2 linked regions of the Oryctolagus cuniculus genome follow. The protein of the gene in region 1 binds, or shares a complex with, the protein of each later gene. Links are inferred from orthologs where the notes say so. Each region holds a gene or a part of one and is shown on either strand. Other genes may lie near its edges.

What was found. Proteins that work in one complex are often made in the same cells at the same time.
Region 2: G3BP1 (region 1) and ELAVL4 share a complex: the UniProt entries of both Homo sapiens proteins name them as parts of the TAU mRNP complex. The link is inferred for Oryctolagus cuniculus from reciprocal best matches to the Homo sapiens genes G3BP1 and ELAVL4.

Annotation. Positions count from the first base shown.
Region 1 is NC_091437.1:38,784,759-38,788,320, forward strand, and holds part of G3BP1 (ras GTPase-activating protein-binding protein 1), read left to right. Parts: coding exon 1-58; intron 59-922; coding exon 923-1,129; 3' UTR 1,130-3,562. UniProt on the Homo sapiens protein: Protein involved in various processes, such as stress granule formation and innate immunity. Plays an essential role in stress granule formation.
Region 2 is NC_091438.1:122,750,343-122,754,413, forward strand, and holds the start of ELAVL4 (ELAV-like protein 4), read right to left. Parts: upstream 2,802-4,071; 5' UTR 2,636-2,801; coding exon 2,555-2,635; intron 1-2,554. UniProt on the Homo sapiens protein: RNA-binding protein that is involved in the post-transcriptional regulation of mRNAs. Plays a role in the regulation of mRNA stability, alternative splicing and translation.

The DNA.
Region 1 (3,562 bases):
TTTTGGTTTTGTTGTATTTGATGATTCTGAGCCTGTTCAGAAGGTCCTTAGCAACAGGGTAAGCTGATTCTTACCTTTCTAATTCCATTTTCCTGTAAACTTTTTGTTGTATCCCATTTTATGGCCAATATGTTTAGGTTGGCCTTGAATTCAAATCTTAGAGAATGTAATAAACCCAGTGGACCAGACAAGATCCTGATAAATTACTTCCCAGTTACTTGTCCCAAGACTAAGCAGTATGTTTATTTATTTATTTTTTAAAGATTTATTTATTTTAAAGGCAGAGTTGGGCAGAGGCAGAGAGAGGTCTTCCATCCGCAGGTTCACTCCCCAAATGGCAGCAATGGCTGGAGCTGCACTGATCCGAAGCCAGGAGCCAGGAGCTCAAGGAGTTGGGCCATCTTTTACTGCTTTCCCAGGCCTTAGCAGAGAGCTGGATTAGAAGTGGAGCAGCTGGGACTTGAACGGGCACCTATATGGGAAGCCAGCACTGCAGGTGGTGGCATTAACCGCTGTGCCACAGTGCCGGCCCCTCTTTTTTTCTTTTTTTAAAACAAAGAATTGTGCATTTGAAAGTAGAGTGACTGGAAAATACTCTGGCTGCTGGTTTACTCCCCAAATGGCTGCAGTGGCTGAAGCCAGGCCAGGCCAAAACCAGGAGTCCAGAACTTCATCTGGGTTTCTCACATAGTTGTAGGGTCCCAGCCACAGCTACTTCCCAGGTACATTGGCAGGGATCAGAAGTGGAGCTGCTGGCACTTGAGCCTGTGTTCTGATACGGGATGCCGGCAGTTTAGCACTTTCTGCCGCAGTGCTGGCTCCGCTGGTTTTTTTGTTTTGCTTTGTTTTGTTGTGTTTTTTTTTGTTGTTTTGATAGCCCGTAAGCACACTGAGTGAAGTCAGATCACTTTGCTTCTTACAGCCCATCATGTTCAGAGGTGAAGTCCGTCTGAATGTGGAAGAGAAGAAGACTCGAGCTGCTAGGGAGGGAGATCGTCGCGATAACCGCCTGCGGGGACCTGGAGGCCCTCGAGGTGGGCTGGGTGGTGGAATGCGAGGCCCTCCCCGTGGAGGCATGGTGCAGAAACCCGGATTCGGAGTGGGAAGGGGGATTGCTCCACGGCAATGAATTACCCATCGCTGATCATCACACAGCCGTACAAACCCCAGCTCCTGCAGAGTGGTGAATTTCTTCAACCAGCCTTTCTTGGAGTATGACCTAGTCTGTTATAAACTGCTTACGTTTGTACAACTTCACTTCTCTTGTGTTAATGGTGTGTGCTCCTTTTCCCTCCTTCTTCCCTTTAGTCCTTCACTTCCAATTTTGTGGAATGATATTTTAGGAGTATTGGATTTATAAAGAAGATAAAGACAAAAGACTGAATTTCCTTGCTTACACTTTGCATATACAGACTGGATTTTTTTAAAATAGCCATTTCCCCAAAGGAATGTGTCTTGCTTATTACTGACATTTGGTATGTTTCATTCATTGGAATATTCTTATTTTCTACATGTTCCAGAAACCTGTGAGATACAGGATTTGATAAACATTTTGAAGGCAAGAAAAATCCAATTGTTCTATGAGAGTCATGACCTTCTGGTGTAGAAAAGTTGCCACTGAAAAATTTAACAAGTTTCATTTTCTCTAGTATGGCTAAAAACTGAATAAAAGGTGTTAATAGAGTTAATTTGTTTTGGTATGTGATCACAAAACAATTCTGAAACACTGTTTCTACCACTAAAACTTAAATTGTGAGATAGGTTTTAAATGTGTAGTATGCAACTGATGAGCTTTTCTTGAACTGTTAGAATTTTTTTGAAGTAGAATTTTTTTCATGTTTAATTTGTATTTGTAAAAAAAAATAGAAAACAAAAACAAAAAAAGTCCCGAAATCCAAATAACAAAAAACCAGAGCAAAACTGTTGTGCCTTCTCTTTGATTCCAGTCTTGACAATTGTTTAAACAAAAATAAATTAAAAAAAATTCTAGATTTGTTTTTACCAGGTTAAGAGTATGTGGGAAATTGTAGAATCCCTTTATCAACACCTTGTTTGTTTGTCATCTGTTAACATTTGTTATGCCTTATTCTAAAATTGAGTCTCAAACTGGAATGCCTTTGAGGACAGATATTTCTATAGAGGTCCTTTGACCTAAATAGTTCTGCATTTGTATTAAGTTTTATTTTGATATCTAACCGGATTCCTAATCATAGCCCATAAGAAGGAATGTGACTTTAATATTGGACTTCACTACTTCACTGATATACTCGAGTGTCTGCAATTTTTTTTTCCTTTAAATCATAGCCATATGGTAAATTTTCTATTTTGTTAAGGTTCTCTTTTATTGATGGGCATGCAGTGGGTATTTCTTGGAAATGGCCAAATTTTTATTAAAATATTTCTGGAAGAAAATTTAATCTGGTAATATAGACTAATACTCGTTTCGCATACTATGTTATTTGTTGAGTGTTGTGTGTGAGGGTGTGAGGTGGGTGAAGGTTTTGTTTACACAAATGTGAAACAAGCCTTTGTGTGATAACTGATCACTAATGGAAGGACAACTAAGTTGTCAGTTTAATTTATTTTCTTAACAGCGTTCCTCTGCAGGACTGTCATTGGAGCAATAGTATAGGAATAAGAATGTTTCATTTTGCAGAAACTGTTGGCTGTGAAGGGGTTGGATAAGTGTTAAATGAATTTTGATATTACCAATTTGGTCCCGCTGTTTCAAATACTTGAAAAAATGGTAGCATCTTCTTCATATAAAGAAACTTAGGCGACTGAGTCATTTGGCTCTTAAATAACTCTTTGGTAACCACTTCATTTGACCCACGCCTGTCATAATTGGAAAAAGCTTGCACTTTTGTAGCTTATGTTAAGCTTGTTTTGAAAAGAAAGCTAGCCTGAGATCCTTTTGAGAAAAACAAATGGCAGTAACTTTGAAGTCAAAAGGTTTTACTGATGAGTGCGCAATCATACATGTGAAATCAAGGGTTCTTCTTACTCAGAGGTTTAAAGTGCTGAGTAGATACAGTGATTCTCAAATTCTAGTTATGTCATAGAGGGTGTTTCAAAATAAGTGAGATGTGGGGAGAGTGAGAGAGACTATCTGGTGTCATTGGATTGGGGCCAAGGACACCAAATATTTTCTAACAGTGAAGCAAGCCTTTTTTCTTTTCTTTTTTTTTCTTTTTCTTTTTTTTTTTTTGACAGGTAGAGTGGACAGTGAGAGAGAGACAGAGAGAAAGGTCTTCCCTTGCCATTGGTTCACCCTCCAATGGCCGCTGTGGCCGGCGCGCTGCGGCCGGTGCACCGTGCTGATCCGATGGCAGGAGCCAGGTACTTCTCCTGGTCTCCCATGGGGTGCAGGGCTCAAGCACTTGGGCCATCCTCCACTGCACTCCCTGGCCACAGCAGAGAGCTGGCCTGGAAGAGGGGCAACCGGGACAGAATCCAGCACCCCGACCGGGACTAGAACCGGGTGTGCCGGCGCCGCAAGGTGGAGGATTAGCCTAGTGAGCCGCGGCGCCAGCCATCTTTTAAGAGCCCTAATGTTACCTAT
Region 2 (4,071 bases), on another chromosome or scaffold:
TAAGATATTTTGAACGCAGCAGCTTCAAATCACAACTTAGAACGAAAGGTAACTGAAACAGAAGATTCATGAAATAAAAATACTTACTTTAAGGTAAGTACCATTCAACGATATTTTCTTTTCTGTTTCAGTCCATTCTATCATTGCATTGTTTTAATGTTTTTTAAATGCTGGTTCAGACCCAATAAAACAACTATAAGCAAAACCACAACCTAATATTGCTATTCTGTTCACTAACATGTATTAAAGATACAGTTCAACTGAGCCTGTGATTAAGCTCTGAAGTTTTATTAATTCTATTTTACATTAAGAAACCGAATCTCAGGGGCTGGCACTGTGGTGTAACAGGTTAAAACCCTGGCCTGAACCACTGGCATCCCATTTGGGTGCTAGTTTTAGCCCTGGCTGCTCCTCTTCCAATCCAGCTCTCTGCTATGGCCTGGGAAAGCAGAAGATGGTCCAAGTCCGTGGGACTCTGCATGCACATGGGAGACCCGAAGGAAGCTCTTGGCTTCGGATCAGCGCAGCTCTGGCTGTTGCGGCCATCTGGGGAGTGAACCAGCAGATGGAAGACCTCTCTCTGTGTCTCTACATCTCTCTGTAACTCTTTCAAATAAATAAAAAATAAATCTTAAAAAAAAAAAGAAACTGAATCTCAGAAAGTATAGGTGACTTGGGCTAAATGGACTCCCAAAAGTCAATGACAGATCTAAGATTCACAAGTTTTCTAACTCTGAAGTTAAGGAAACTTAAAAAACAACCCCCACCCCCCATAAAAGCCAAATTATGATATTATGATTATGATAAATCAACTCAATAAATGCATACTGAGTATTCACTATGTACCAGACACTGAAATAAGAAGGCATTTGACACAATCTTTGCCCTCCAATGCTAACTGAAGGTCATCAGATAAGACCTAACTTAGAGGTCAGAGTGTTGTGGTCAAGTCACTGCTTGGGATGCCTGCATCACATATCAAAGTGCTGGTTCAATTCCTGGCTGCTTCACTTCTAATTGAGCTTCCTAATATGCCCAGGAAGTCAGTGAAGATGGCTTAAGTACATGGGCTCCTGCCGCCCATGTGGGAGACCAGGATGGCATTGCTGGCTCCTGGCTTTGGTCTGGCCCAGCCAAGGCTGTTACAGGTATTTATGGAGTGAATCAGCAGCTAGATCTCTCTCTGCCTCTCTGCCTTCCAAATAAAATGAAAACAAATAATTTTTAAAAATACCAAAATCAGAAAAGTTAAGTGACTTAGTACACATACTTGTAAATCTAAAGTGGGTATTTTATATATTATTTATTTATTTATTTGAAAGGCAGAGTTACAGAGGCAGAGGCAGCGAGAGAAACAGGTCTTCCATCCATTGGTTCACTCCCCAAACAGCCACAGTGGCTGGTGCTGGGCCAGTTGGAAGCCAGGAACCTGGAGCTTTTTCCAGGTCTCCCACGTGGGTTCAGGGGCCCAAGAACTTGGCCAATTTTCTACTGCTTTCCCAGGACATAGCAGAGAGCTGGATTGGAAGTGGAGCAGCCAGGAGTCAAACCAGCGCACATACGGGATACTGGCATCGCAAGCGGCAGCTTTACATGCTACACCAGTGCTGGGCCCTAAAGCGGGTATTTTTTAATATAGGGGGAAATAAGCTAATTCCGCACCCACTACCACCTTCTCTTTGACCATCATTTACTCTACAGAATGAGCACTGGTAACTGTTGGCTAGAGCACACAGTGTACTCTTCTAATGGCACATTTCTTTACCATCTGAATAAAAGTTGGTATCTTTCATTCTAGTGCTTTCTGACAAGTAACCCTAAAAGTAGTCCTCAATGTGACTTCACCAATGATTGTCATCATCGTAACATCACAGTATGTTCAGAAGAATGCTCTAATGCCAATTCTTAGCTCTCTAAGTAACTGATATTTACTTTAGAAAAGTCTTTAGGATGCTTTTACTTCTGAGATATTGTCACTTAATAAAAAGAGAGGTCTAGCCCCTGAGAAACAACCAGGAAACAACAGTCCTTGATCTAAAACATTTCATAGCTACTAATCCAAAGTAGAAACCAAGTTAAAATACTGAACCTTCCTAAACCATAACTTTTACAACTGTCTCTCTAGCTTTACCTTTACACAGCCTATATTGCATTCACACCAAGCTACTTACAATTCCTTAAACAAGCCTTGTTAAGTTCCCATCTCTATGCCTTCATTAATACTATTCCTTCTATGTTGAATCCACCTTGCTTATAATTCTTCTGCTAATCCAGCTTCCTGGCTCAACTCAAAAGGTATTTCCTCCATAAAGCCTTGTCTTCTTCTTCTAACAAGTATCTCCCTCTTCTGTATATTGTACCATCTCTGCCAAAACACTGCCTACATTTTGTTTGTCATTATCCTTATTGATACTCATATTTTAATACATATTATAATATCTATTAAATAACATGACATTCTAGGAGGCAACTAGATTGTGCTTCCTATACAACAAACATACAATATACATTTCCTGAAACTGCATGGAAAATTTAGATCTAGAAAGGGAATTACCTTTTGTTCCTTTACCCAAGACAGGCGAACTTTGGCCAACCTGGACATATTCCCAGATACTCTGGAGTGAAGACTTTTCATATTGTTAAATATTTAACCTGAAGCAAGCAGTTGAGTTTTATTTTTGAAAAAAGGGGTTAACAGTACCTGTCTTAGTTACATTAACAAGATCAAACTGACAACATAGAGCAAATATTATATAAGGCTAAGTGAATATGAGATATGATCTCTATGGTCACAAATCTGTTAGAACAATCAAAGTTCTAGAATGTAAACTGCTCCTCTGTTCTAGGAAAACTGACACAACCTGAAGTATACCTCAGGAAGTGTACTGTCAAGATTACACCAACCCATGTCTCCAAAATTCACTAACTAGAGATCTTTTTAAGAGTTCTTAGTAAAGCTCTTCTAAACTTGAAGTTTTTCCTTCTTGTGGCAAATCTTAAGCCAGAAATATAAATTCAAGATTCAAGTACTGTCTTAAATATAGATGAAGTTCCAATTTTTTAAAAATATAAACACCTACCTAGCAACACAATCCTAAGAATATACATCTGCTTCTTATTTTGCCCATTTGCCTGCTCAAATCACTCACCCAATTATCTCCTTTTGGCCCTTCATTAATAGAATTGGATTTTTCTAGTCTAAAATCTAGAGAAGTATCTCCTATACTTTCCTTTCTCCAAAATGTAGCCTTCTCCCTTTTTATAAATATATTTCTTCCCATATAAGCATAGTCTAAAACTAAGAAAATACCTTCTAAGAGCTTGTATACCACACACAAAACCTACACACATAAACCTGCAAAACCTTTTATGATTTTTGGTGAAGCTTTGAAATACATAGACTCATGTGGAAAGAGAAAAGTCCTGTTATCTATTTCATAATAAAAGTTGTTTGCTTTTTTTTTTTTTTTTTAAAGAAATGAAAGTACAGGGCCTGGAAAACAGCAGTCATGGGATCAGATTAACTTACAACCCTTTCCCATAGGTGAGTTATTCATTTATTTAGAGGCAGAGAGAGAGAGCGAGTGAGCGAGCTCCTATCCACTGGTTTACTGTCCAAATGTCCACAATGGCCCAGACTGGGCGGGGGCTAGAGCCAGAAGCTGGAAACATAATCCAGGTAGCCCCTGTGGGTGATAGGAGTCCAACTACTTGAGCCATCACCACCACCTCTCAGGTTCCGCAGTGGTGGGAAACTAGAGTCAAGAGCTGGAGCTGAGAGATGAACCCAGGCACTCTAATGTGGGATGCAGATGTTGTACCTGCTAGGCTGAACACCTACTTCCTCTAAGGATTAAATTGAAGAAAAGAAGTAACTCCCACTCACATCCTTTCCATGACTGTATATGAAGTGAAATTCAAAATCTGTGACAGTAAACGATGTTCTAAGATTGTGTTTTCAGTTTAAGTCTTGAACCCCTTCAGGAATAAATTCTTTTTATTTCTCCATTCTTTTTTTTTTGGACAGGCAGAGTGGACAGTGAGAGAGAGAGAGACAGAGAGAAAGGTCTT